Linked DNA regions of Rattus norvegicus. The protein of the gene in region 1 interacts with the protein of each later gene in a pairwise test. Links are inferred from orthologs where the notes say so. Each region holds a gene or a part of one and is shown in the gene's direction. Other genes may lie near its edges. The genes, in order: Uba3, Cpne2 and Impa2.

The links.
Region 2: the proteins of Uba3 (region 1) and Cpne2 interact in binary tests that used the Homo sapiens proteins (3 or more experiments, as listed by UniProt). The two-hybrid records come from large-scale screens. The link is inferred for Rattus norvegicus from reciprocal best matches to the Homo sapiens genes UBA3 and CPNE2.
Region 3: the proteins of Uba3 (region 1) and Impa2 interact in binary tests that used the Homo sapiens proteins (3 or more experiments, as listed by UniProt). The two-hybrid records come from large-scale screens. The link is inferred for Rattus norvegicus from reciprocal best matches to the Homo sapiens genes UBA3 and IMPA2.

What each region holds. Positions count from the first base shown.
Region 1 is NC_086022.1:131,345,157-131,354,398, reverse strand, and holds the end of Uba3 (NEDD8-activating enzyme E1 catalytic subunit), read left to right. Parts: intron 1-843; coding exon 844-908; intron 909-1,179; coding exon 1,180-1,335; intron 1,336-2,651; coding exon 2,652-2,754; intron 2,755-2,849; coding exon 2,850-2,963; intron 2,964-5,407; coding exon 5,408-5,461; intron 5,462-5,898; coding exon 5,899-5,935; intron 5,936-6,020; coding exon 6,021-6,102; intron 6,103-6,402; coding exon 6,403-6,503; intron 6,504-6,607; coding exon 6,608-6,671; intron 6,672-6,755; coding exon 6,756-6,810; intron 6,811-7,317; coding exon 7,318-7,403; 3' UTR 7,404-8,180; downstream 8,181-9,242. UniProt on the Homo sapiens protein: Catalytic subunit of the dimeric UBA3-NAE1 E1 enzyme. E1 activates NEDD8 by first adenylating its C-terminal glycine residue with ATP, thereafter linking this residue to the side chain of the catalytic cysteine, yielding a NEDD8-UBA3 thioester and free AMP.
Region 2 is NC_086037.1:10,435,149-10,445,615, reverse strand, and holds the end of Cpne2 (copine-2), read left to right. Parts: exon of another isoform or gene 1-3,381; intron 3,382-3,470; coding exon 3,471-3,707; intron 3,708-4,820; coding exon 4,821-4,928; 3' UTR 4,929-5,371; downstream 5,372-10,467. Other genes in the region: Psme3ip1 (PSME3-interacting protein), read right to left, coding at 10,279-10,467.
Region 3 is NC_086036.1:63,120,016-63,130,482, forward strand, and holds part of Impa2 (inositol monophosphatase 2), read left to right. Parts: intron 1-2,990; coding exon 2,991-3,095; intron 3,096-5,507; coding exon 5,508-5,553; intron 5,554-7,147; coding exon 7,148-7,256; intron 7,257-10,467. UniProt on the Homo sapiens protein: Phosphatase that can use myo-inositol monophosphates, myo-inositol 1,4-diphosphate, scyllo-inositol-1,4-diphosphate, glucose-1-phosphate, beta-glycerophosphate and 2'-AMP as substrates in vitro.

The sequences.
Region 1 (9,242 bases):
AGAGTTACTAAAGGATTAGGAGGGTGGGGAGCTTCTAATAAAATGTTTTTTTTTTAAACAAAGTAATTACGTTGCATAACTGCCTTTATTTTAATTGGTAAACTGTGTTCAAAGCAGTTTTAGAGTCACAGCAAAAGTGGGTGGAAAGTAGCGTTTTCTGTCCCATCACACAGACGGCCCTTGTTAATCTGAGTTATGTGGGATGATGGAAGAGAGACATGCAGATGCCGTGAAGCCTTGAGAAAGCAGGGGGTCGCCCTCAATGGACTGAAGCCCAAGCAGCCTTTCAGAAGCATATCTGTTGACTGCTAGCCTTTGAGTGAGGCAAGTTCCTCACACCAGAGCCCCCGATATAATGCGTGTGTTTTGCGAAGGAGCATATCATCACCTCTGCAGCCTCCTGTGCTATTTGCAGTGCTCACTAGTGCAAGACTTTCTGGTTTGCTAAGAGCGTCTGTGACTAAGATCATGCAGAGTCTATGAAGCTCCTTCAGACAAACAAATCACAGGAAACAATCACTACCTATCACAGTGGCTTCTTTGAAGCCCAAGAATGTCTAAAAGCAGTTGCTTCATTCTGATGTTCATACCAGATACTACTAAATTTCCACTGCAAACTTTCCTTTCTAGTAGTCCACTGGCAGTGATAGATTGTTAACACTCCATGAACCCCTGTTAGGGCACTGGTATAGTAGTGTGTGTGTTTGTAAGCACTAGTGACCGACCTAGTGTGTGTGGTGGGGCCAGCACTATGGAGGCTGAAGCAAGAGGATAGAGAATTTGAGACTTGCCTAGACTACATAGACTATATTAAAAATTACATGTGGCTTTTTTTTCTTGTAGAATTTCATATTATCGTATGTGGCCTGGACTCTATCATAGCCAGGAGATGGATCAATGGAATGCTGGTAAACACTTCATCGTTCGGGTTCTCTAAAGGTCTTTGCTTCAAATCAGAACCGTTGGTTTAATTTTAAATTGAGTAGCTATACACATTGTTACTGCTTTCATTGATTTTCAATGAAATGTGTTTATTGTTAGGAATGTAGTTCATTCTGATAGATTGCTACTGAGTCCCAAACTAACTTCTAGAATTTGCTAGAAATACACTGCTGCGGTTGCTTTTTTTTTTTTTTCCACTTCCTATTCTTTTTTAAGACCTTTAAAACATTTCCCTAGATATCTCTTCTAAATTATGAAGATGGTGTGTTGGATCCAAGCTCCATCGTACCTTTGATAGATGGGGGCACAGAAGGCTTTAAAGGGAATGCCCGAGTGATTTTGCCTGGAATGACCGCTTGTATTGAGTGCACTCTGGAACTTTACCCACCACAGGTAATCAGAAAAGTTCCTACCTCTCTTTCTTAGTATCTTGGGTGGTAATTAGTGTTGGAATAACATCTGGTCAGTGTCTAGGGTTTGTAATTGAGGATAAGTGTTTAAATATATCATTTAAGGGTATAGGTTCGTATTTACCATAATGACAGCATGGGCTCAAACTAGTGGACTTCAGCCTCAAAACAAGAGCAAAATTTAAAACAAAATTTGCTTAGACGAATAAAATATGATAGTCTTCTGTGTTTGAGAGAAGATGATATATATCAGATCTGCTTTTGTGGTTTTGTATTAGTACTTTTTTTAATTGGTATTTTGCTAAGTGTGTTTTTGTTTTAATTATGTGTGTATGTGTAAGTGTGTAGGTATGTGAGTACAGTGGTCCTGGACACCAGAGGTGACAGATTCCTCTGTAGCTAGAGTAACAGGCTGGTGTGAGATGCCTGACATAGTGCTGGGAACCAAACTCAGTTCTTCTGAGAGAGAAGTGTCCGCTCTTAAACCACTGAGCTCCAGCTCCTTACTTTTTTTAATTTAAGAGAAATTACGAAGTTATATGTTGGGATAAGTTACATTCTGTCTGTTTTCTTCATATACTTTCCTTTAATTTAAACTTAAGGTGAAATGTATATACATAGGGTTCAGATATTTGTTGGACTCTTAGAGCATATCTTTCATGAGGAAGGAAGGTCTACTGAAGTTATTACAGAGACCACAACTCCTAGGCAAAAGGCTGGTTAGGTGACTTAGCCGATAAAGACGCTGAGTTAATCTTAGGACACCCATGGTGGAGCTAAAAGTCTTCTGACTGTCATATGTACACTCTAGCATGTGCTCACAGGCACATACATGCAAAGTAATTGTGATAAAGAGTTTAGGATTAAGAATGATCTTGTCAAAATGGAGCTCTATAGCATACACACTCACTTTAAAGGATGGTTGCAGTTTTGATTTGTAAACATTAGCAGCTCTATGAGTATTAACTTACAGTTGGTTGAATTCTGTGCTTTTGTGCTAGTTTGCATTATACCTTTACATTGAATACAGGTAAAACTAAATCCCTTCCATTTCAGAATTTATTTAGTACTTTTCTTTTCATTGCCAACAGAGCTCTAAAAATGTAGGACACATGTGTCTGTCTTTACAGGCAGGGCAGCCCTGAGAGACTCTGATGCCTCCTGTTAGTATACAAGTCTTCGTGCCCTATAGTGAAGAGCTGAGATGAATGCTATGAACTAAACCTGAACTAGACGTTGCATTTTTAAAATAGCTCATAATTTAAATTTTACTAAGAAAGACAAATTTTGCGCTTTTAGGTCAATTTCCCCATGTGTACCATTGCATCTATGCCCAGGCTCCCAGAGCACTGTATCGAGTATGTAAGGATGTTGCAGTGGCCTAAAGAGCAGCCTTTTGGAGGTAATTTAACAATCTAGACTTAAAAAGTATTTTATATATTACTCATTTTGAAATTACATTTAAAAATTACCTTATGTTTGTCTGCCCCACAACAGATGGGGTTCCATTAGACGGAGATGACCCTGAACATATTCAGTGGATTTTCCAAAAGTCTGTAGAGAGAGCATCACAATATAATATTAGAGGTGTTACCTACAGACTCACTCAAGGTGAGTTAGTGAACTGTCATAGTTGTGGGATTGGTAGGGAAATACTCTATGGCAGTGATTTGTTCCTAACACCATCTGTATCAGATATTTACGTTATGATTCATAACAATAGCAAAATTACAGTCAATAAAGTAGCAACAAAATAATTTTATGGTTGGGGGTCACCACAACATGAAGGACTGTATTAAATGGTTGCAGGATTAGGAAAGTTGAGAATCACTTCTCTATGGCAAGAATGCTTGATATGTAATTAAGACATCACCATCCATCTGCAGTCTAATTGAAGAACTATGGAAGCAGTGTTTTTCCAGTTATTCCAAGGTAGTAGCTAACCGTGTTCTGGAGAATACATGCTATTCAGCTAGTGGAGATTGAATGGTGCCACTGATTCATATTTTTATACAATTGTACAACTGAAAGAGCCCTTATCTTCAAAGTCTAACTTGTTCACTTCATCTTCACTGACGAGGAGTTTATCCTCTAGGAGAGCTGTTGAAAGATTGTCAAGTAGTTACTCTAGCTGTGTCTTCTTCAGTTTGAGTTTTGGCCAGTATCTTACATAATCTAATTGCTTTTTTCTTTTATTTTAAAATTTTTATGTGACTATTTTGTCTGTTTGTATATATGTGCATCTCATGCATGCATGCCTGGTGCCTGCAGAGTGTAGAAGAAGGCATGCGTCCCCTGGAACTGGAGTTATAGAAAGATCTGAGCTGCATATGGGCATTGGGAGCCGAACCCTTTTTGCATTTAATACTCTCTTCACATTCATCGCTACTCATTAAAATTTGCATATCTTTTCACAGATCTAGTGGTTAGGCCTTCCTTTCCCCGTTTCTCCCTCCCCATATCCCCTTTCTCACAAAAACAATATTCTGGAGGTTGTTTATTAAATTTTGTATTAGTCCTGGAGATCAAACCAAGGGTCTTAGCAGCCTTTTTAGATTTGTCTCAATCTGTTGTCAGATCTTCTTGAGTCTCTCAGACTTCTTTACTGTCTTCACAAAGATACCATGAAAGACCTTTCCAGATGCTCCCCCAAAGCCTGGTTGTTCTGTGTTCCCATTTTCTGGTTGCTGGGTCAGTCAGAGTCCGTGAAGGTGCCTCCTCTAGCCTGGGCTCACAGTGAACAGTCCTGCTCAGCCTGGGTGACCAGTGTTCAGTCTTGTTATAGTTCTTCTCTTTTGGAGTTTTGCCATAGTCTCTAGAAAGAGTTGTCTGTTCTTTTTTCAAATTTGTCATTTCTTTTCTGTGACTGTTTTCTTTACTCGTTCTGGTATTACCCCTTAAATTCAGTTCATGCCTACTGCCTGTTTCCTCATGTTCGTCTACTTGTGCTCCTCCTGCTGGAATGCTGGGAACACATCTGGTAGTGCTGCCTCACCTCCAGGTTCACGTGGTTTCTCTAGAGTGAGTGATTCAAGTGCAGTTGGAAGACCGAGTCTTCCTTTTTTATTATGGAAGATGGTTTGTTCATAGCTTACATGAATATGGAAGTGAAAAGTTAGAATCAGTCAAACTAGAGAGTTGTGCTTTGTCCTGTGTGGTCCTGTTGGTAGTGTAAAAGAAAGATACTTTTAAAAGGTTGTTGTATTTTTTTCTATTGTGACATTTTGTGAATGGAATGACTTGAATTAACTATATCAAGAATCATTAGGAAACTTCGTTTATACTTATTAAGACATTTCAGAGTCTAGTACTATGTATAAGACTGTGTGGGGTGGGCATGTATGGGCACAGCCCATTTCTGTACTTGCTAGGAGTAATGTTGTGGGTATCATATTTAATTTCTCAGCCTCGTCTCCTTTCTTTTTAGAACAAGGATGGTGAGACTACCATCACCATGTCAGTAACATTAAATAATATTTAGTATTCGCACTATATTTGTAGTATAAGGAAACACTATTGTTATTATGTTTTTGCTTTGTCCTTATGGAAAACTACAGAGACTTCGTTTCAGTACTGTTGCTTAATGTTTCAACACACTAAGGCTGTTAAGAATTAAAGATGATAGTTCATGTTTAAAGGTGTCTGCTTTTTTTTTTTTTGGAGATAGGGTCTTTTCGGCTTCCCACCACCATGCCTGGCTATGCCCAACTTTATCTCTTGATTTGAATGCCTGAAAAATCAGAAAATGGTATTTCATAATCGAGACTTTAAATGTCTTAATTACATGATTTTAACTTAAAGTGACTTTTCTTTTTTAAAAAACACAGAGCTAGAGAGATGGCTTAGCTGGCTTATTATTCATAACTACCTCTAACTCCAGCTTCAGGAGGCCAGGCAAGCTTCTGGATTCTGAGGACCCCTCCACTTCCATGTTCACATGTACACGTGTGCAGTACACACACACACACACACACACACATGTGTTCCCCTACACCTGATTAAAAATCTTGAAGAAAAAAAAACAATGACCATATTTTATTTGGCAAATTTTTCAGGGGTAGTAAAACGAATCATTCCCGCAGTAGCTTCTACAAATGCAGTCATTGCAGGTAAGGGAAAAAGACTTTCAGTTTTACTTTTTGCTTTGATTCTGACTTAATGTCTAAATTGACATTTCTGTAGTTACTTGCGTTCTAGGAATTTGATATCTTCTTGGGTGGGTTGCTCCTGTTTCCTCTGTATTTTTTGTTTCATTATGTCTTACAGGACCTTATGTTTCTCTTAGACAAAGTGCTCACAGTAAAGGAATGTTTTAGCATGTCTTTTTACTCATAGGGTTAGCTTTTCATTGATCTGATGAGATGAAGGAAAAGTTGTATTGTTTAGATCATATAAAACAAATACAAAACTTGTTCCTTCCTATGTTTTTAAAGTTGTGTATTTTAAAATCCATTTTCTATTCAAATTACAATTTTACCTGATTTACAACTGACTTTCAAAGTACGTAATTTTTACTGAATTCAAATGCCTTTATTTTTTTCTCTAGCTGTGTGTGCCACTGAGGTTTTCAAGATAGCTACAAGGTAATGAGTTTTATTTTTAATATGTGTAGAAATCCTCCTTATAACCTTGCTCAATTAGATAAAATGAACTTTTTTTTCATTACAGTGCGTACATTCCCCTTAATAATTACTTAGTATTCAATGATGTAGATGGACTGTACACTTACACATTTGAAGCAGAGAGAAAGGTTAGTAGCATTAAAGTAATAAAAATATTCTTCACTATACAATCTTTGCTTTTATATATTAGTTATTAGGAATTAGAAGATAATTATGCTGTGAGTTACTAAAGCTAATACATAATATGTATCTTTTGTTAGATAGCTTAGATGCTGTAAAGCATAAGAATTTAGAACAAATAATCTATTACAAAATAGGCTTTAAAGCAAAAAGTATTTTCATAGGAAACATGCATGATTGTAAAATAACTCGATTTCCATGTCTGCTTAAAAAGAGACTGAGACAGTGTGACTCTTTTACGTTTGCAGGAGAACTGCCCTGCGTGTAGCCAGCTTCCTCAAAACATCCAGTTCTCCCCATCAGCTAAACTGCAAGAGGTGTTAGACTATCTAACCAATAGTGCTTCTCTGTAAGTGCTGAGTGTTTATATTGTAAAAGTCAGTTTTAAACTTTACAGTAACAAAGCGAGAACTATTTTCTTTAAATAAGATGGTGTTTGCCACTTTATTTTAGGCAAATGAAGTCTCCAGCTATTACAGCCACATTAGAGGGGAAAAACAGGACACTTTATTTACAGGTCAGTAGTATTCATTAATGTTTTTGAAGAAAATTGTGTTTTTTTTTCTTATGTGCTATGCATTAAAATAATGTTGTTCTCCAGTCAGTAACGTCTATTGAAGAACGAACGAGACCGAATCTTTCCAAAACATTAAAAGGTATTTTAAGTAAATGTATACCCTAACATAATTTTCTTTTTTAGTAAATGTCTGCTATCTCTCCCTCCTTCCCTCCCTCCCTCCCTCCCCCCTTTGTGGGTGTGTGTGTGTGTGGTGGGGGTGGTGTCTGTCTGTGCTCAGTACCAGGGATCATAATCAGGCAACCCTTGCTGGCTGGCACGGGCCTTATCCCTGCGCTGGCTGTTTCCTCAGCCCTCAGTGTTTGGAGATAGGATGCGTTTGTGTGTCTTTAGCCTTGAACTTGCTTGTAGCCCAGTCTGGCTTTGAACTTAGGTTCACTCCTAATTAAATATGACCAAATTGTAATTATTTATATCTCTAAAAATTATAGAGTTGATGGCTCTTTTAATAGAAAAAATTAAAACTCCAAGAAATCAAATTTAAAAACGTATCTGAACTATAAAGCTATAATTTGTGTGTTTGTGTCATTTTTGTTGTTGTTGAGGTATTTATTTACCTTGGTCTAATGACAATTTTCTATTTTAGAACTGGGACTAGTTGATGGACAAGAACTGGCTGTTGCTGACGTCACCACACCACAAACTGTACTATTCAAACTTCATTTTACTTAAGGAAAATAAATCTGCACATAATAGAATTCATAGAAATAATATGCTTTATAAATGTTATGCAATTGAAGAGCCGGGAAGATGAGGCAGAGGGGAACACCCAAGAAAGGAAATTTAATTGATGTCATTTTTAGCATTAGTGTGGCTAGAATTTGACTTTTTATATATACATATATATAAAAAATGAATGACTCTTTTTTAACTTTATAAGTTTCTCTTGAAGACTGAACTTCTGGGTTGGGCTAGTAAGCATTTTCATTTTAGTAATATTGAAAACCATGCCTCCAGGAAAGATTATGAACAAATGTCCTGCTTCTTTAAAGCAGGACAAACACTGTCTTTTTGTGTGAGTTTGTTATGGTCAAACAACATATTCCTCAGCTTGCATTTGAGCATCCACCTGTATAGAAATGTATTCTTGAATGGAAATGAGGAATTATGTCTTAAGAACATTAAATATTTACAACCTGACATCTAGAGATATCAAACATAGGCAATTTCTTCATTACTACTCATATAATTGTGACTGTCCATGTGTGTATTAATTATTGCAGAGTTTAACTTGTCCATGATAATTTGTAAACAGTATTATAGAGTCATACCTGTGCATGAAAATACAAAATATTTTCATGTATTTATTTGCAATGCCACAGAGACCAGTATGCACAAATTTAAACCAAGACATGGCTGTTCAAAGAAATTAATGTTTCAACAGTTATCATTGATGCTTTTGCACTATTTATTAATAAAATTGTACATTGTCTACTTTTTATTGAAAAATTTAAAGTATATCAATAATAGTAAATAATTTTATAGTGATGTAGAAATAATTTTTAAATGTTTAATAGTTATTATTACCAGACTTTTAATTCACCTGAGTTAAATTTTTAAAAATTTACTGTAGTAATTTCCATAGTACAGACTAGGTTCATTCGTTCTCATTGGTAAATGAAATGGAGACTTAATTTTTATCGTAAAGTTTCTTTCTTAACATGCCTTTTTTTTTCTTCAAAAATGTTAAAATCAAAGTGGATCACAAATACTAAAAATATATAGTTGTAATGTTTTAATGTGGGAACAAATAGAACCTAATTTTCATTTTTAGTTGCAATTTTTTAGTGGGTGGAATCTGTCTCTGTCTTGTTTCTTTCTGGTGTGGGGATGGTGCAGGAATATAACCTGGGACCTCCCCCATGTAGTGAAATGCTCCATTACAGAGCTATACCCTAGTTTCTAGCTACCTACTGACAAATTCAGTTCATTATAAAACCACATAGGGTACAGTTCTATGCTTTACCCAAAATGCTACAGAGTTAACACAGTTTTTCTTTTTCTTTTTTTTTTTTTTCCCGGAGCTGGGGTCCGGAGCTGGGGTCCGAACCCAGGGCCTTGCGCTTGCTAGGCAAACGTTTGCTCTACCACTGAGCTAAATCCCCAACCCCAACACAGTTTTTTCTTTATGGTTCTTCTAGTATCAGATTTAGAGCCTTGTACTAGGCCAGTATTCCATTACTAAGCTGTATCTCCAATAAGGCTCTTTTTCTTCCTTTCTTTTCTTTTCTTTTCTTTCTTTTCTTTTTTTTTTTTTTTTTTTAAATAAGATAAGGTCTCATTGTGTAGTCTAAGCTGGTTTTAACTTGTGACCCTCTTCCCCTGCCTCTTTCTCTACTGGATTATAATGATATGTTGCAAAGCACCTGACCTCCCCCCACCACCCCCTTTATTTTTTTTTTAAGACAGGGTCTTACTGTGCAGCTCTAGTTGTCCTGTAACATTCTATGTAGACAAGGCTTGCCTAAAACTCAAAGAGATCTGCCTGTGTTTGCCTTCCAAGAGCTGAAC
Region 2 (10,467 bases), on another chromosome or scaffold:
ACCTCTGGCTTCCCAGCCTAAGCTATTACCTCCGAGGCCTTGGACTTCAGCTGTGAGAGTAGAGCCTGGGGTCTCGGCCACCGCTTCCACTCCGAGATCCAGGAGTAGATACAGACTTTTCTACCACATACCCTGACCCTCTCCACCAGAGGAGGCGAGTGGAGCTGCGGGGTGGCTCAACCTCAAGCTGAAAGGACCTGGTTCGAGCCCCATCTCCCCCACTCCCTGGTTGTGTTACTAGAACAGGTAGTTTAACACTCTGAATTTTGGTTTTTCTCCCCTGTACAACAGCATTCCCATCTCTGAGTGCTGCAGAGAGTCACCCAAATGGGCGCGTGCGCTGTTCAGTCTAGAGCCTGGCACGTAAGACAGGTCGGTTGTAGGGACAGGCACGGACATCTCTCAGGCTAGCATCTGGTAGCGCTGTGCCCAGGGAGACCCGCAGCCGATAGAAGTAATTGGGGGATTAACCAATGCTTCTGGTTGGCCATGTTTTGGTGTTGGGGGATGTAATGTGGCTTTGCCTTCCACATCCCCTCACGTATGCACACAGAGCACACACCCACGTACAGGACACAGAGAGCAGGCAGTGGTGTCTCTAGCACCTTCCATTCATTATTTCTTCCTCGGGCCTTTTCTGAGCCTTTCTGGGCAGCCCCAAGGACACTTGGATGAGTGAGATTCAGCTTTTAGGGGAGTTAGCTGGGAGGCCGATGCAGGAATGTCTGCCTGTGATGGTTACAGTCCAGGATTGCACAGGTGGCACCTAAGCGACAGTGGGCACAAGGAAGGGGTGGTGCTTAGAAGGGGATATCCAGGCTTACACTTGAGAGATTCTTAAGAGTGGGGGGTGGGTCTTGGTGTGTGGGTATAACTGATAGAGTCGTGTGTAAGGAGATTGTGACGGAGTTGGCGAGACTCAGAAAGCTCACTATCTCCCACAGGACCTTGAGAGCCGTCAGACACTCTAGGTTTCCTCCCGAAGGTAGTGGGAAGCCACCGGAGGTGGGGGTAGGGGTGGGGTAACAAGCAGGTTTGAGTGACCTGATGACCTGAAAGTGGCCTTGCTGGAGTACAAGTAGCAAGCCCCATCTCAGCCCTCAGCAGCCAGCTTTTCAGAAATTACCCGGAGGTGAGTGCAGCTTCCCCACGCTGCCTAAACCGTGGGGTCAGGCCAGTTTCTTCCAGTCATTCGTGCCGTGGGAGGTGTAGCTGTGCAGTCCTAGCCCCGTGAGGCAGGCCTGGAATTGGCAAGAGATGCTCTGCTCTTTGAAAAAGCTGGGACTTGGTTCCTGAGACCTAGATGGAGAGCCAAGCCCCTGACCTGCAATGTGGGCTGGGCTGTCAGGAGCACCTAGGGTGTAGGGAAGGTGTGTGCGGAGGGACAGCACAGTAGGGACACCAGGGCTTCGGAGTCCCTTTCCACCCTCCGCTCTTGCCCTCCACAGCCCTTCTGATTTGCTCTGGGGGCTCTGGGTGTAGTGGTGGATCTTCGAAGCTTTGGTTTTTGACGGCCATGGCTTTGAGCAAGCTGGCTGTGGCACCCAGGAGTGAGGGCTATAGCTAGGGCTCTGGACTTTGCCTAGACCACTATTCTGTTCGTTCAGACTCACTCCAGGTTAACGGGTGACAAGGGAGCTTTTCCTGCCAGGCTCACAGCGACCAGCCACCCATGCAGTGGGTGGCAGAGGACAGCATGGCACTTTGTAGTCAGGCAGATTTGGGCACGAACCTAGAACCTGCCAGTTACCTGTTACGGGACCTTAGCAGGTTGTGAAAGCTCTCTGAGCCATCGGATGGCCTCTAAGCCAGACTGGCAGTTAGGTTGTCTGCTAAAGGTCTTCTGTTTTCAGGCACCCCTTTGTCCTTCCCGCTCCACCTGCAGCCTTGCAGGGACCCAGGCTCTGTATTTCTGCATTCACATCCCCCCGGAAGGAAGGCAGCAGGCTACAACAAGGAAGGACGACCACAGGGAGGTGGGGGCACATGTCTGAGCTGAATGGAGCTTGCAGACAAGCGCTACCTTTGACTGAGCAGCCAATTAAATCTTTCCTCAGTGTCAGGCTTCTTCCTGCCCTTCTCTCTGCCAGCCGAAGTCCCAGGAATATTGCCCCGAACTGCCGGGTGGGTGGAGTTAATGTGGATAAAAGCTGGCTAGGGAAGGGTCTGGATGGATTGGTAAAACCAGGGCTAGGGGCTGCCAGCAGCAGCTCTCTACCGCTGGGTTCAGGCTCCATCTCCATGGCAACAAGTATCCCCAGCCAGGGGATTGGTCTCTTAAAGGCACAGCATTAGAGCTGGGGTGTGGAGGGTGAAGCCAGTGTTTGCACAAGCCCACCATATCTTGACCTGACCTTGTACTTTGGAACAGAAGAGGATGGGGTATTCTGGAGGCTGGGTTTGTATTGTCCACAAGCTGCACAGTCTTGACCGTGGAGAAGGTAGCTTCAGGCCCACCAGGGTCACAAAGGTGGCCTTCCCTTAGCTTCATGACATCCCTTTGGCAACTAGTGGTCAGAGGACAGAATTAGAAGGCGGACACCCCCAATGGTAAATCAGCACAAGGTTCCTGTGTTTATCTTGTGGATAGGACAGAACACTGGATTCTTCTGAACAGGGCCACAGTAGGTCAGGACAGCCCTGGGGTGAAAGTAAAGGGCTGGCCACCTCTGGATTGCCCTGACGGTTTCCTGTCAGTCACCTCCCTTCTCCACATCAAGTCATCCGGTGTGCACTTTATCCTTAGGCAGCTCATGTTCATTATTCAATGCATTTTACCTGAAATAATTCCTAAAGAAAAGCATCTTGCTAATGAAAGTTTGGTGTCATTTGTCATAAATAGAGGGTAACAGGGAGACACAGGGCAGTGGTGTTAGGCTCTATCTGCAGCCTATGAACTTCCTACCTTCTGTTGATGAGGGGGGTCAGTGAAAGCTGGAGACCTGATACCAGTCTACACCAAAGCTGCCTCCTAGGCAGGGTGACCACTGACTACCTACCTACTCCTGCCCTAAGTGTGACAGCCCTGCAGCCTAGCCATGACCGGGATCCACCTCAGAAGTGACGGACCACGTGACCTGAGCTTAGCCCCTGCAGGTGTCTCCTTCCATGCCAAGTATGGAGCTAACAGTGAACGAGTATTCCTGCCCACAAAGACAGGGGAGGTAGGCCAGCCGTAGAGGCTGTAGGCTAGACTGTGTTGCTGTGCAAGCCTGGGCTTGTCAGGCGGCTGGCACGTCAGCTCTGAGCTTAGTAACTCTCAGTTTAAAGGTGATGAAACAGAAACTCGGCAGATTAAGTCTTAGTGGCCAAAGCTGTGCTCACAGTAACTGGCAGAGCCCGGGGCCCAGCTTCAGAACGGGCCAGTCAGAGATGTCCAAGGTGTGGGCAGTTTGCCTTGAGGATTTGGAGGGGAGGGGAGGGGCGAGGCTGCTCTCACACTCATCACTTGCCTCACTCTTCCCTTACAGCAGTACTTCATCCTCCTCATCATCACTGACGGGGTCATCAGTGACATGGAGGAGACACGGCACGCCGTAGTGCAGGCCTCCAAGCTGCCCATGTCCATTATCATTGTGGGTGTGGGCAATGCTGACTTTGCAGCCATGGAGTTTCTAGATGGGGACAACCGTAGACTGCGCTCACATACAGGCGAGGAGGCAGCCCGGGACATTGTGCAGTTCGTGCCCTTCCGAGAGTTCCGCAATGTGAGTGTGGGCCCTGGTGGGGAGGGGGAGAGTGGCTGCAGGGTCTCCAGCAGAGCTCACTGGTCCCTCTCAGATTCCTCCCCCTGTACTGTGAGCTTCTGAGGGCCCACGGTGAGTTAGGCGCTGTCACCTTGCCCAAGATAAGGCCACTGTGACACTGTCACCACTTCTTTCCACAAGTCAAAGGAACCCAGGAGTGGGGGCTAATCCAGATTATGGCTCTAGGTAGTGTCCTGGGTTAAGATTACCCAGAACACTGAGGCAGGCTGAGGTGGGAGAACTGAAGCTTCCTGCCCTTTCCTCTACCCTTACTCTGCAGATGGGAAAACAAAAGCCGAGAAACCCTCCTGTTAGCCTGGCTTTCTTCCCCCAAATGTGGGGATGATATGATATACAGTGGTGGCCAGCCTCTTCCTGAAAGTGTCTCTGGCCTTGCTGAGTGAACTTTGAGCAGCTGGCCAGGGTTAGCAGAATGACCATGAGATGCTCTGTCTCTTGGATGGATCCAGGACTTTTGGGTGGCATCTGTGTAAGGCCAGCCTAGGTTCTGACTCCTGTGGGATCAGTAACACATTGCCCAGCCTTAGGAAGGCTATGAGTTTCCTGAGCCTCAGTTCCCTCAGCTAAAGCCTATGGGTTCGTCAGGCTTAAATCCTGGGATCCAGCCTTGGCAAATGGTGGCCCAGTGCCCACCACGTCTCTGCCTAGGATGGTTTTGTCCCGCTTTTTGGCTTCCTAGAACAAATGTGGGGCATTCGTTGGTCATCTGTTGCTATATGGGACAGTGACTTGACACTTTCCTGAGGCTGGCTGCATTCACTGATGCTTCTCACAGACTGACTGTTGGTCAGGAAAAGCCTCAGGTTGAGGAAGCTAAAACACCACTTCTTCCCCCCCAAATTCATCCCCTAAGGTCTTTTCCCCATCCCGAGAAGTGACAAGGAAGTCACTGCTAGTGGTGGGATTAGCATTCGGGCTGAGCTGAGGCCCACTCATTTCAGAGGGCCCTGGCCCTCAAGCCCTGTTATCACAGCTCTGGGATGGTGAATCTCTCACCTGCTCATTGATCCTCCTCCTCTTTCCTGTTTCTCCCCACCTGGATCCATCCCACAGGCAGCCAAAGAAACGCTGGCTAAAGCGGTGCTTGCAGAGCTTCCTCAGCAGGTAGTGCAGTATTTCAAGCATAAAAACCTGCCCCCCACCAACTCGGAGCCTGCCTGAGCGCGGGACCAGCCACAGCATGCCAGCTGAGCCCCCAGCCTCCCCAGGAACATGCACGTTCACCCTGCTTCCTCGTGGGTGGCCTTTTTTTTTTTTTTAAACCAGTCCACATTTTTATTTTTTACAACTGGACCTCCACCCCAACTTCCCCAGCCCATATGGGCTCCCTTTGTCAGAGTCAATGATGATGCTTCCAGGACAAAACAACTCCCTCACCCCGCCCTCCTGCCACTCTAAGTATTGAATGTACTTTGTATAATTTTAGTGGAATTATTGTTATCAAAGAGAATAAAATTTTTACAATCGTAACCGGCTTTTTCTAAGTAACTAGCTGCAAGAAGGAATGTATCCCTACTGTGTACTTTGTATGGTGGTCTGCTGTTTTTATACTGTGACTATGTTCTACTTGTCAAACTCAGGGTAATAAAGGAGTTTCAGATGTTGCCTGTCAAGCTCCTTCCTTAGTGAGGGTCAATGGGCACTCACTGATTTGGAAAAGAAAACCATTAGGAAGACCCTCATCCCCGCCCCCTTTTTGAAGGGTCAGTGTGATCACTTCCTCATGGGGACATGCATTCCCTGTCGCCAGCAGTGATTCCCGTGACACTGGCGCAGGACACAGCATCCAGAAGTGCCCACTTTCTCCCCCGGATGTAGTAGGCAATGTCTTCGGTGTCAGGACCCTAAACGAGGTCATGTCTGTTCCTGCTGCATGTTCCTCTTAGCACACACCTCCTCTTCATGAGACTGGCCCCAGACCTCCTCCTCAGTCCTTCTCCTCCACACCCGTACTCTATTGATGAGGAGTTCTCAGTCTTCTGACAAGCAGACATGCAACTGGAACAGTGAACATTTCTACTTTGTACCACGTGTCTAGCTCCCTGCACCAGCATCGAACCTTCCACAGCCCTCCCATGATCTTGCAGAAACAGGGAAACACAGCAGGCCTACTAAACAGACAGAAGGCAGATGGGAGTGTGGTGGACCACTGTGCATGCATATCCTACCACCCTCAGCATCTCCGAGGGGCTTTTCCACTCAAGCTGCTAATGACCTTACCCTGTTCTGTGGACACTAAGCCTTCTCTGCCTTCTCCTCCAGGGCAGTCCTTCCTAGATGCTGGAGTTGGTCAGCACTGGGCAGATCCCAATCTCAGGAGCCACAGTGTATGTGGTAGAAATGAGGAGCACACTTCTGTGGCCACCAAATGCTTTTGTTTTTTGAGACAAGATCTCAGTATATAGCTCTGGCTGCCCTAGAACTCACCATGTAGACCAGGCTGGCCTTGAACTCACAAAGATCATCCTATTTCTATCTTCTGGTAGCTAAGACTAAAGATGTATGTTACCACATCCAGCCACTAACCGGTTTAGCCAACAAGGGAGTCTAGCGGATATATCCAGGTAGGTGACTGTGTAGTGTTGGAGTCAGTCTCAAACACACACACACACACACACACACACACACACACACACACACACACACACACACACACACAGAGAGAGAGAGAGAGAGAGAGAGAGAGAGAGAGAGAGAGAGAGTGTGCAAGAAAGACAGCCTTTAGGCATAAATACAAATCTGATTCTGTCATATAGCAGGGCAGCCCAGGCGAGTCACTGGGCCTCTGGGAATTTGGGGTTCCTCTATAGAATGTATAGAAGGGCTGGCTTCAGAGTGCTTTTTCAGAATGAAAAACAAATCCACTAAAACAATTCAGCATGTCCCCCAGCTGCTTGATCTGTACAGAGCAGGCCTCAGTGGTGTCACAGAAACAAGAGAAGCCGGTCTCCCATGAGGCCTTTCTGTGTCTCTTCTGCTGCTGGGGCCAGGACCGTTAATGCTATTCCGACTCCCTCTGAAACTACTCCCCCAGCAGGTAGGGGAACAATGCCAGCCCCTGACAGTCATTAGGGCTGACTGTGATGCCAGTTGAGCATCACGCACCGAGTACTTGTATTCCATTGGCTGCCAGGAGTCCAAGTAACTGTTCACTACCACTGAGCTCTCCTTCCTTTCCTGGAGGGGCCTAAGATAACAGCTGAGTCACATACCCACGGCAAGGACATTTGAGCCAAAGAATCCGGAGTGTGTAAGCAATTAACATTTAGCTAACTGGAGCTAAGGCAGAAGCTGGCGGAGTGGACAACCAGATCTGACCCTTCCAACATGTCCGTGTTCTAGTTACAAGTGGGGATGCCAGCACTGTACAAATCTGTGTGCAGCGTATTAATACACTCTAGATACCCGACCAGACCTGGGAGGCTTCTAATCTAGATGGTTTACATATGACCATAGCAAGTTGGTATTTTTCGTGTTTCCTAGGTGAAGGGCCTTGTCTGGCTGTCATGAGATCACTACGGCATATCTATGCAGGGTGGACAGATGCAGTTCTCAAGGGGCTGGTTCAGGCAAACCAAGCTTTTTCCTTAAGTGAGGAGCTGGCCAAAAGGGAAGCAAAACAAAACAAAAAGAGGGGAGGGGCTCTAACAAGGTACCTTACTGAGTAGTGGGTGCTCGTGCATGAGAATCTTTCTCTCTGCTGGGTCCTGAGACCTCTGTGCAAGGCAGGAAGTCAGCTACCTGTCTAGGTCCAGTCATATCAGCCTCCCAGCTTTTTATAGAGAAATAGGTGACCTGAATTTCAGGTCTCTTTCCTCCCCACCCATGTGAATGGCTTCAGGTAGACAAATGTCAGGAAGAGACAGGAAGGGCATGGGCAATACTAATACAACTCAAGACAGTTCACTGTCTCCCAGGTAGAGCTGGCAACAGATCGCTGGGGCTTTCCCCAAGAGGTCTCAGAATCCCAGGAATTCTGCCACCCAAGATAATGTACAAGGTTCAAAGAAACAAGTCTAGTAATGCAGGCAGGAGCACGTCTGGTGGGACTGGTCCATAGACCCTCCTCAGAGGTCAATGTCTGCAGATGCTCAAGAGCTGTCTGTGGAATGCTGTCTGCACAGAGCCTACTCATGCATCTCCCTAGACTTTCAGTCATTCCTAGCTTACTCAACTTACAACAATTTACGATGTCTGGACCGTGATATGCTACAAGTTGTTGTACTCAGTGTTATTTGTAGGGAATAAGAAAAGTCTATATACGGTCAGTACAGAGAGAATCTTTCCTTCAAGTATTTTTGGTCCCTGATTAATCTGACTCCCCCGGAGAGACCTGCCAAGGTACACAAATGACTGTGTTCTGAGGGTCAAGGTGGGATTTTCTTCTATCTCTCTCTGCTCATTCTGTTCTTCTGTGGGAGGAAACCATAGCTGCTTCCCTTGGTTGGCCTGCTTTGCCATGGAAGTGGTGCTTCGATTACAGGCCCCTACACCATGGAGGCACAATGAACTCTGGTAAAAAGGCCACCAGAAGGACCAAAAGTGACATCGCGGTTGGGTGCAGCGGCACTCACCAGTGATCCTAGCATTCAGGAAGCTGAAGTGAAAGGATGGTGAATTTGTAAGCCAGCTTGGGCTACACACTGCTCCGCAATCAGCTTCAAGTGATGAGAGGGCTGTAAGCTCATGTGGCACAGGGCAAGAGCTAGCTTGACAGGGCTAAAAACTAAAGTTAATGGACAGTTTTAAACCCTGCAACCCTGCCGTCTTCTTTTCAACATCAGGAGGCCATGAGGTAGACCAGTTGGTCTGAAAAGTCAAGCTATGTGATGCTGATGACTTTGATGTCTTGGTCTGCCTCCTGAAATGGCTCAGGGTTGCTCTGGATACAGGAACGAGCTTCGAGAATGACAGCACAGTCGTAGGAACAATGATACAAAGAGGCAGAAGGTGCTTGCAGTTTTACCTAAATGTCTTGTTCGTCAGGAGGGAGCTGACAGGCCTGCACTGACAGTCAGAAAAGATTAGTACTGGGAGGCTCTGCAAAGGATGCTCACAGGCATCGACGATGGTGGAGGAAAACCACCATCTGCTGGTAGGCACCAGTGTCAATACACTGGAAGGGGAAAGGAAGGGCTGGATGAGATCCAGGGCCCTCTCTGCCCACGTTAAAACTGAGGAGCTTCCTCTGCCTGCCAGTATTTCAGTGCCAACACATTCAGTGTCTCGCTCGTCTCACACCCATAGGAAGGGAAAAAACAATGGATGCTGAGACCAGCGAGAAGAGAACCTCTCAGGCTCATTCTGAAGCAGGACACACAGACCTTTCTCCTAACCCCTAAGCCCTGCATACCTATTCCCTTCTTATCTCCCTTCCGCCCTCCCTCTGTCCTTCCCTCCCTCCCTCTATGAGACAAAAAAAGGCAAGAGCCTGCTGCTTTTGGCTGCTCATAGCCCAGGAACTGGTGTGTGTGTGTGTGTGTGTGTGTGTGTGTGTGTGTGTGTGTGTGTGTGTGTGTGTGTGTGTGTGTGTATGTGTGTGTGTGTGTGTGTAGGAGTGGGGGAAGGCACACTGGATAGAGGAAAGGTAGTGAGCAGCACCTTAGACTGGCTGGAAATAGCTTAGGTCAAAAGCTGCAGTGTATGTGCAAACAGCAGTGCTTTGGTGGATTAGAGTACAGCCGTAACGTGCAGGCAGGATGTCCCACTGGTTTGCAGTCTGAGGATTCCAGAAACTGCCAGGCATTAGTCATCTCTTTAACACAGCTATCAGCAGTTACAGTTTCTGGCTATGATTCAGTAAGTTTGCTTTTCTAACATTCAGAATCAAACTAAATCTTTTATTTCAAAAACAAAATCAAAACAATTTCTCAGGGAGAGAAGGTGGGCAGAAGATGGACACGTCCTCATTATCAGCTCCCTCCTACCTCCTCAGGCTGGATGGAGAGGGGAGAACATGGAAGAGCGTCACCTCAAGGGCTGTAGTTGGCTCTCAGCCTTGTGGGTGTGGCCTGCAATCTTTACTGAAGTCACCACAACACCCAGGAAGGGTTAGTCCCAGGGGAGAGAGCTCCATGCCACCAGCTAGTCGGCCCCTTTCTCTATGCCCACACACAACATGGCAGAACCAGACCGCCCATTCATCTATAACAGAAGATGAAGCTAATGAAGCCCTTCCTGTGCTGCTAGGTGAGGAGATAAACGAGACAGCAACAGGACACACGGAGTCCTTGCGAGCAGCTGTGCCTGTCCTTACCGTCAGTGACATTTCTGAGACAGCCTGAACCCCAACTCCTCATACCAACGGGACAGGTTTGTTCATCTGCACTCGAGTATAAAGAGAAATCAAACCAAGTGTGAGCCACAAATGGACTGTGACACATTTCTGAGTTAGGTTAAAATGTCACATGGACACAGGAAGCAAGTGAGTAAGTTTTTTGAGGGCGGTGATGCCGAGGCAGAACTGGCATCCAACCCTCTGAGGAGATGCTCCCTGTGGTACTGTCAGGAGCTAGGGTGCCTCAAGGAAGGTGTTGGTTCGGAAGATGGAGGAGACGATCTTCCCTGTAGCGTTGATGGTGCCTTCGCTGTCTGAACTGGATTCGGAGTCACTGCTCCCAGAGTAGGCACCCAAGCCAGGAAGGATACCAATGCACACAGCAGCAGACGGGCAGTGGAGGGAGGGGGCTCCACTCAGAGA
Region 3 (10,467 bases), on another chromosome or scaffold:
TCCGGGCCAACATCCCCCTAGCCCCTCCCCCTCCCCTTCTCGATGGGTGTTCCCCTCCCCATCCTCCCCTCACTACTGCCCTCCCCCCAGCAATCACGTTCACTGGGGGTTCGGTCTTGGCAGGACCAAGGGCTTCCCCTTCCACTGGTGCTCTTACTAGGCTATTCATTGCTACCTATGAGGTTGGAGCCTGGGGTCAGTCCATGTATAGTCTTTGGGTAGTGGCTTAATCCCTGGAAGCTCTGGTTGGTTGGCATTGGAGGTAGGACCTTCTTAATGTGTTCTCGAACCATTTGCCGATACTTTGTTGTGAATGTATGCATCTTGTAGTGTTGGTTTTTTAAGTCTTTATCCAGTGTGGGTATTTAGATACTACTGTATTTAATTATTTAGATAATATTGACTTGGTAGAATGAATTTGGTAGCGGTCGGTCTCTCTCTGCTCTGTTAGAATAGTTGAAAAGTGCTGTCATTAGGTCTTCCTTAAAGGTTTAGTGGTATTCAGTAGTGGATTCGTCCAATCCTGGACTTGTGGAAAACTGCTTCAATCTCATTGTCTGCCTGTGTGAACTGTTTATATCTTCTGGGTTTAATTTGGGCAGGTCTATAATTAGAAAATTTGTGAGTTTCTTTTAGATGAAAATCTGGAATATTCTGTGGTCTCCTGGATTTTACTGGAATCTGTTCTAACAACTCTTTTTTCATCTCTAGTCTTATTAATTTGCATTTCTTCCTTTTGCTTGGATAGGCGCTTGTCAGTTTTGTTAATCTTCTTTAAAGTGGGGCTGGGGATTTAGCTCAGTGGTAGAGTGCTTACCTAGGAAGCACAAGGCCCTGGGTTCGGTCCCCAGCTCCGGAAAAAAAGAACCAAAAAGAAAAAAAAAAAAGTTAAAGAACTAGCTGTCTGTTTGGTTCTGTGTTTTCTCCTTGTCTCTTTCACCCACTCTGGTGACTTATAGTCATCAATACCCTCCTGAGTGATCCATACAAGATGGCGAGGTTGTCTGAAGCTGGGGAAAAGTCACTCAGTATGCCCTGCTGCCTTCTGCCCCCTTCTGCCCCCTCGAGGTCATGGTAGCCTGTGCCCTGTGGTGTGTTCAGCACAGAGCCATCCATGTCTGTTGGACGCTTAAGTCGGTCAGGACATAAAGCAGCATCCTTGACATAGGAAAGCCCTTCCCTGCCACCCAAGCTGGACATTCGTGTCCATTCTCTTCCTGCTGGGCTTCACCCTGTGGGCCAGCTGGTGGATGCAGAGCTGCAGCTTGGGAAGGGAGGACCTCGTGGTATCAATCAGCTCCTTCATGGACTGAAGAGACAGTCGTGACTGACGTAACACCACACTCAAGTGCCAGAAGAGAAGAAAGTCTCAGAAGCAGCCAATGGTCGAAGTCACATGGGGAACTTGTTACCTCTTGACTTGAGGTGTGTCTTTTCACCATTTTTATCTGCCTGGTCCTCCATTCAAGGGTGCTTTGGCACCCATTCCTTGTGTTTTTAAGAGTTCAGTGTGTTTTGAGGGGCCTAGAAAGATGATTCATTGGCTAAGAACAACAGCATTGGCTGCTCTTCCAGAAGACCTAGGTTCAATTCCCAGAACCCACATGGCAGCTCACAACTGTCTGTAACTCTAGTTCCAGGGGACCCAACACCCTCACATAGATATATATGTAGGCAAAACACCAGTACATATAAAATAAATAAGTCTTTAAAAAAATAGAGTATGGTTTGTTTTCGTTGAAAAAAATTTTTTTAAAAAGTGACTCTAGGACACTTTAGGAATATCAAGTACCTTCAGAAGACAGTTCTGGGAATGGTATGACTCTTAAGTCTTTGTCCTATGGCCAAGCATTTGTCACATTTAGTGTCACCTAAGAGGGCCCCTTCTCTCTGAGCCTACATGTGGGTAGAAAAGAAGTAGAAGGAGCTTCCCTACCTTTGGCCTGGGCAGCTGGTGCTTGTTGGCCCCATTTGTACTAATGACATCCCCTTCTGTGGTGGTTTGAATACGCTTGGCCCATGGGAAGTGGCACTATTAGGAGGTGCGGCCTTGCTGGAAAAAGCCTATCACTGTGTAGGCGGGCTCTTTGCAGGCTCCTAGTGCTCAAGCTCCACCCAGTGCTGACGAGAAAGCCTCCTCCTGGCTCCTTCAGGTCAAGGTGTAGACCTCTCAGCTCCTCCTCCAGTACCATGTCTGCCTGGTTGCCACCATGATGATAATGGACTGAACCACTGAAACTGTAAGCCAGCTCCAATTAAATGTTGTTCTTCACAAGAGTAGCCTTGGTCACGGCAACAAGAATCCTAACTAAGACACCTGCAAATATTCAGCTTAAGGTTTTGTCTCCTAGTAGGATAGAGATCACACTCCTGAGGAAAGTTAAGGGAGCCTTATTTACATAGGGCCTTATAACAAAGGAGGGGCCAGCCCAGAGCCCCCTTATCAAGAACCTCTGATCTGGAGACAGCCAGAGTGGCCCTGAAGGAGCATGTCAAGGTGACACTATGAGGACAGGGTCTGCTTTGACACTGAGGACAAGGGGGGCATGAAGCATCCTGCTAACTCTACTGCTCCCTTGTCCAGCTCTTATTTTCTCCCAAAGGGGAGCAGAGACCAAGGAGGGAAGAGTAAAGGGTCCAAGTGGGGAAGGGAGATGTAGGTGACCGTTTCCCTTCTACGGTCCAGGTTCTGCTCTGCACACTAGCAAGACCTCTTGGGCCTCTGCTGCCTCCCCTCCATCTGTAGCTCCATGCTGAACTGGGAACCAAGTTTTGCTTGCCTCTGTGCTCTTTCAGGTGCTCTGCACTCCCGCATCTCTGCCTGGCCTGCTCCATTTCCCCTGTGTGCCTCCAAAACTGCAGCTGTGAGAGTCAGTCTGGTGTGGGGGGTGTTTTGGTACTGGGGCTGGAACCCAGAGCCTTGTGCCTGCTACATACGCTCGTCTGCTGAGTGTTGGACTTGACTCAGGCTGAGCCCCCTGCCCCAGCAGGTTCATTGCAGAAGAGGCCACAGCCTCCGGGGCCAAGTGTGTGCTCACCCACAGCCCGACCTGGATCATCGACCCCATCGACGGCACCTGCAACTTTGTGCACAGGTAAGCAGGAGCTGGGAAACATGAAGTTACGGGGCTCTGTGGGACCCCTAGGTTTTCTTTACAATAGCATAAGCATCTAAAATACTTACGTAATGTAAAATATTGTAAAATATTGAAATTTCTAGTCTTGTTAAGAGGAAATCAGAACTTGATATTTTTAAAAGGTTTTCTATTTATGACTCTAAAGAATATGTAAGGAAAATCTGTCTTAGAAAAATTTTTGGCAAGGCATGTTGGCACGTGGCTTTTAATTTTAGTATTTGGGAAACAGAGGTAGGTAGATTTCTGAGTTCCAAGTCAGCTAGGTCCATACAGTAAGACCTTGTGTGTGTTCGTGTATGTGTGTGCATGTGTGTGTGTGTATGTGTGTGCATGTGTGTGCGTGTGTGTGTGTGTGTATGTGTACATGTGTGCGTGTGTGTATGTGTACTGTGTGTGTGTGTGTGTGTGTGTGTGTGTGTGTTATGTGTGTGTGTTGTAGGGGGTGACTACTTATGGTGGCGAGCACCTGTAATCCCAGCATTTGAGAGGTGGAGATAAGAAAGTCAGAAGTTCAAGGCCAGCTTGAGCTATGTTTTGGGGGATTCTTTATTTCTTTAAGTGTTTTTGGTTACTCCTGACCTATAGCACAAAGGCCAAGATAGGATCACAAGTTTGAGATCAATTTTCCCTATACTTAAATATTTTACTATACTTTAAAAACTGGAAACATAATTGCCTAAGAATGAAGCTCATTTGGGAGACTGTTTACAGCTGTAAGACACTGAATTCCATTGTGTTGCGGCTCCTTTAAGAAGTTGCCCCTAGAAAACAGGTAGAGTTGGAGCAGGAATCCTGGGCCTCAGGTACAGAACCAAGACATGCCAGTGAGATTTGAGAAGTCATTCTCTCAGGAGCCAACCTTGTGGCTGCAGATAGGGCTTACAGGAGTAAGCCTGAAGGCCTACCAGTCCCTAACGGTGACAGGTATGAGAGCTATGTATACTTGCTGAAAGGCACGTAAAAGGAGCCAAAGACCCAGCCACACAATAGGCATCATGGCTTCCCTGGGGGCGGGGGGGGGGTGTTAGCTTGCTGTTCTCTGCAGATATTTCTATGCTGCGAGCACTTCCCCACTCATACTCAAAAGTTACTATAGGGCACGTTGAGGAAGTAACGTGAGCAGAGCTGGGTGTGGGGCGCCTAGCTCTCTGGCCTCCGTGCTGTGCTTATCTGCTGAGTAGCACACGGTAAGCATGACCACTGTAGTGCCCGTTGCCTTGAGAACCCAGTCGTGCATGAACAAGGGGACCCTTTTGATGCTTCGGAGCAGTGCCATCTGCTGCCACCAGGCCGTCACTTCACGCTTCGCTAAGTGAGGCGCCTTTCACCTCTGAACCGTTTGTCACCCAAGGTGGTCATAACGGGGATGCAGCGGCTACACCACATTCCAGCTAAAGGCCACGATGGTTCGTGCTAAGGTGTCCCAGGGCTCTGGTGTCCTTGGGATCTACAGTACTTCCTGATCTGCAGCCCTCAGGGAAATCCGGGCTGGAAAGAATGTCCTCTGAGAAACAGGCTCTAATATTGACCTGACAGTTCCAGTATATCCAGGCCACAGCTGGGCCTGAGACCTGAGCCATTAGAAAGGCTGCGGTGCTGGGCCACAGCCAATGAGGCTGAGGAAAAGCTGAGAGATGCCTGCCTTAGGACGCGCGCAGGGAGACTCGGCCCGGCCTTTGAGGGTTTCTGCACAGGGTTCTGCCCACTCGTGGTCTGGGTTGGTATTTTCCCCAGCCAGTTCACAGTACTTGGTCTTTCCTGGCCCCTTCCTGTTTTTTAAGTCTCACAAAGGAGAGACTATTTTGAAACACAGCAACAAACTGGCGAAACTAAAACCATGGTCAAGCTGTGGCATCAGAACCATCCCTCTACCGCTGGCTCACCCTGCTGTTGCCTTCTGGGAGCTCAAACCGGAGACGGGATGGGGATATTATTGGCATTGTCGAAAGGTCACATCTGTGTGGTGGCTGCAGTCCAGGGTCTGTGATATCATCTACTGGGCCCTCCACATACATTCTGAATTTGGGGTTGGTCTTTTGCGAATTCTCTACCTGCTTAGGTTGCTGAGAACCAGGACTGTGGTTATTATAGTCATGTTGATTAGTATTATGTGGTCGCTGTTAAGTTGCCTCAGTCTTACCACGGCTCCCAGAGCGCTACGGTTGCTTTAAGTTCGCTATTTTACAGCATGGCGAGCTGAGCCTGTTTATTTTGGAAGCAGTAAGTGAAACTGGAAAGTCATTTTGAAAATCAAACCTAGCCAGAGTGCCGAAAGGTCCTTGTGGGGCGGGAGGGAAGCCTTCACACAGCTACACACAAGAGCTTTTGAGAGCCAGTGTTCTATGTAACCCATTCTGCCTTCCCTCACAGATTCCCCACTGTGGCAGTTAGCATCGGATTTGCTGTTCACCAGGAGGTAATGCGGCCCTCCTTGCCTGGTTTCAGTTTCTGTGTTGCTCTTTGACACTTACCGTAACCGTGACTAGTGTGTCGGGGTGTGGGTTTGGGTCTTATGTCTCCTGGGGTGGACTGGCTCTTTTTTTTTTTTTTTTTCTTCTTCCGTGGTCCAGTCATAGCTGCTGTGGAAAGCAATGTTCTGAGCAGATGGCCCGATGAGTCTCCATCTGACCCCTAGAGCGTGTGATCTAGTCACAGACAAAAGACAACTCCTATTTTTGGATGACATCTCAATATTTCATTAATTCTTCTTTTCCTCCTGGCTATTAGTATGAGAATGTGGCCCTATCAGGATTCCCAGGGACTTTCTGGACTAAGCCATGGCGTGAGACCTAAAAGAAAGGCAGACAGAGGGCGAAGGCTTATGCAGGAAGACAAGAGCCTTCATTTCTTGTAGTCATATGAGCAGAGTTGGGGTACAATGTCTCCTACAACTGCCCCCATTCAGAGCAGTGTAGCAATATCGACGAATGTTCCTCTCATGGGGACAGTAAGTTTGCATTATACCTCAGGGTATATACTTTTGGTATATTGGTAAAACTTTTCAATATTGCCAGTTGGGTAAGGAATTGATGATCCATCGGTTTCTTTGCATCATCACAGAGATCTGTTAACATTAATGCTCTCCTAACCACCAGGTTATTATAATAGGAGTCAGGGCTGCCAGGAAAGAAAACTGGGGCCACAAAGCTCAGACAGGTCCTTGTCCTGGCTGGGCCGTCCTATTCTGTCCTGCGTTTCTAGTTCCAGAGCACAGGAATACTTCTAATCAGTCATGGTCCAATCCAGGAATCAACTCTCCCTTCCCCACAGCTCACTGGACATTCCCCTTGATAATGGGGCCTCATCACAGGTGACCACACAATACGGTGACGCCTAGATCTGGATATCATGTTGGGGCCAGGGGTGGGGGTAGGTGTAGGGCAGGTAAGTATTGCTAGAGAACCACGGACTGTCGGGAAGCCCCTTCCAGAAATACAACTTGTTCTATAGGCTGAGTGGCGAAGATTCTAAGGGCTGCCTAAGACTCTGCTAAGGCACTGAAGATGACCACCCTGAAGATGGGCATATGGTACCAAGCACAGACACATATTCACCCCAGGGTTGTGAGAAGCAGGCAGAGAGAGACAGGAGTGCTGGACACAAGGCTTATCGCTTCCATATTGACCTCTTCCTCCTGCTAGCCAGTGGTCATGCCCCTGGGGATGTCTGTGGGTTCTTTACTTACCAGTAACGTGGAGGATACCTAAGAGTTGTTTTTTTTTTTTTTTTTATTCAGTCACAATTATGGGTGGAGAGGGGAGAGAGTTCATTACGATAATTTTAATACTCTTATTAGTATTAATATAGTTTTGATATGTTCGTTTATGAAACAGCTCGCTTTCATGACCAGAAGTAGTTCGAAGTCTGCCTGTCTCCATTCCTCTTTGGAAGACAATTCTGTCCCCTTGTCACAGTGCTAGTTCCTGCTCTAAGAGGAGTGTCCCTCTTTAGATCACTGTTGCCTTTGTGTCAAGAAGTGACGTTGTCCACTTTCTTCCTGCCCCCTCTAGCTGGAATTCGGAGTGATTCACCACTGCACAGAGGAGCGGCTGTACACCGGCAGGAGGGGCCAGGGCGCCTTTTGCAATGGCCAGAGGCTCCAGGTCTCCAGGGAGACAGGTGAGCTTCATCCAGCTCTTTTTGGGTCGTTTCAGATAGAGCTAGATGCCCAGGGACTATTACACATAGTGGTGGCCATCTTCTTCTTCTTTTTTTTTTTAATTTTATTTTATTTTATTTTTTAAAGATTTATTCATTTATTATATATAAGTACACTGTAGCTGTCTTCACACACACCAGAAGAGGGCATCGGATCTCTTTACAGATGGCTATGAGCCACCATGTGGTTGCTGGGAATTGAACTCATGACCTCTGGAAGAGCAGTCAGGTGCTCTTAACCGCTGAGCCATCTCTCCAGCCCTGGTGGCCATCTTCTACAGAGAGTGCTAGCTCTTTTTTAGGAATACAGTGTCCCTAGTGGAAATCGACAACATTTATTCTGTGTAGGTGCTCAATACTTTGAATACATTATCAGAGCCTCTTGTATCTATTGTCTTTAAAATGGTAGTTACTGGTGAACAGTTTGGTCTGGTGGGACCAAGAGAGCGGCTTAGACCAAGGGCCCGCAGAGCATCCAGGCACAACTTGGTGGGGGACCCATGACCACAGCATGTATCTGGTCTCTGACCTTGCTGTTGGAAGCGGAAGCACGGTGGAGAGGAACAGTGTTTGAACGTGCCCCGGGGCCTGCCACCAGGATTATGTCTGTCCTTTGTTTTCCTTAAATGTAGAGGTCTAAGGACATTGTTTGCTTGCAGGAGGTAGCCCATGGAATGGCACACCGAGGGTGTTCTCTCTCCTCCACCCTTTAACCCACAATGATTAAACTAGTAGTTTGTTTTTGGTTTGTTTGTTTTTTTATCGGGTATAGGATAGGTGTGGTAGGCAACAGATAAAGCCAGGGTTTTTTGTGTATGTTGGCCAAGGTGGAGACATGGTAGTGAACAGAGTCAGGGAAGAAAAGGGATCCTAGAAGAGCAGCCAGCCGTGGAAGAGGAAGACTTTCAAAGCCCCTGAGTGGCCACGTAATTGAGTTTGGAAAGGCAGTGAGGATGGGAGCGAAGCTGGCCGTGGAGTGGCTCCCCTAGCATCCCCTAGTTCCTTCTGCAACTCTGAGCAGGACACGGACGGCAATTGCAGCCTCTGCTCTTTACGTGTCAGAGGCCGCATATCATAACGTGTCCCAGCCTCAGTCCCTGCTTTCTGTTGGCTGACACTGGCCTCAGTCCCAAGATGTCAGCACTTGACTCTCAGCCCGTCTACTTTCTTTACCAGCCATTTCTCTGTGCCTGTTGTTGGTTTATCTTTTCACAGTTCCTTCCTCTCATCTCCCTCCTGGGTAGCTTCCTGGTTAACACTGGCATGCTGAGCCAGCCTGTGAGCATCTAGCTTACTGTGTGAAGGCACAGTGTGGATGTGCTCATAGGCCCGTGGGGAGGAGAGGTTGCTGGTGAGAGTCCCGCATGGACCCAGATCGGGGGGCTAGAACTCACAGGAGCCCTGTGAGATACCCCAGCAGGACGATTGGCAAACCAGCGCTCTGAGCCCGGAGCGGGCCAGGAAAAGCACCTTGCCCCATTTCTCCTTCTGCCAGAGTGTTTAGTTTGGCTGTGGAGTGATGTTAATTCCAGCCATGCTGGCAAAAGGCATCCATCCAAGCCTAGCTGGGAAAGGCAGGGAGGAAGCCAGCCATTAAACATGCCTGGGTGAACTTTGCTCCAGTTTTCATTTGATAGGACACTAAACTATTCACACGCCCGCTTCCTGGTTGACTGCCTTCACAGCTCAGTCAGGTGGTGACGGCTCGCTCTGATGGCTCCACCCACCTTTGCTGTGCTTGCTCCTAACCCCAGAAGGGCGAGACTTGGCCTGACTTCCCTCTGCTGGGCCCCAGGAAACACCCAGAGCAGAAAGAAGCTGCTTGCTGTCTCTAAAGCTCCTGCCCCTACTGGTTACCTGCCTCCCTTCTGCCTCCTCGCACTGCCACGCTATGTCCTTACCTCACCAAAGCACGGTTGTGACTTGGAGTCCGGGTGGTGAGCTGTTCTCACCTCTGGTCACAGATGTCAGAGTGCTCGCACTGGCTTCAGGTCCCCACTCTGATGCCTGAGGCTGTACATAGAGCAGGCAGCATCTGGTGGAAAATAATTAGTTACAAAGGTGGGACGTGGTCTTGTAGGACTATAATCCAGTACTTGGGAGACAGAGGCAGGTGATCTCTGTGAGTTCAAAGCCATCCCAATCTGCATGGTGAACCCCAGGACTGCCAGAGCTGTATACTAGAGAGACAATGTCTCAAAAAACAATCAGCTGGGAGTGTTGCACGCCTCTAATCCCAGCACTTGGGAGGCAGAAGAGGGCGCTTTCTGTGAATTCAAGGTCAGTCTGGTCTACAAAGTGAAGGCAGGACAGTCGGGGTTCTGCTATGCAAAGAAACCCTGTCTTTAAAAAAAAAAAAGAAAAGAAAGTGTGCTCTGATTGTATAGGTGGCAGGGGTGTGGTGCTGTGTGCTTATAATCCCAGCACATGGTGGGTGGAAGCAGGAGACCTCGAGTCTTTAACTGTTGGAAAACATACAAGTTTTCCAAAGTTCTCTTAATTTTTGAAATGGGCTCTCACTGATAGACCAGGCCAACCCTGAGCTGGTAGCGTCCTCTCTCTCTGCCTCTTCCGTGTCGGGTCACAGGCATGCACTGCCTCCCCTGACACAAGTTCTCTCAGGTTGTAAGCCCCACTTGAGTTTATGTCTGGTGGCACTGGTAACAGAAGTGGCAGGCTCACTTTTTCTTTCTCACTTCCAAACACTCAAGGCCTAACAATCTTAGTTTATCAAAATCCTTTGGCTACCTGTTTCCTTACTGTAAAGGTTATTTCCAAAGAAAAAAATACACACACACACACACACACACACACACACACACACACACACAAATTCAAGATTAATGCATTTGATGATGTTCATAGCTTCCTAATTGGGAAGGACATCTGCTGCCAGTGACTTACATAGGAACTTCCTGCCTATTAGCGCCAGCTGGGATGGTGACATCACCGGTTACCTTGCTGGAGACACCACCACCTCCCATTGTTACTGTTGTTTTCTGGATGTGCAGGGCAGTGAGGATTGATACATTGTATCTTGATTTAATGGGGGAAGTGCTCCTAATAGAGCTGCCCAGGGGAAGCAATGAAGGTCGAGGGTCGCACTTGTGATGAGAGTAGAATCCTAGTTGACATCTCAGGGCAGAATCATGGGAACCGTGCCCCGATTCCT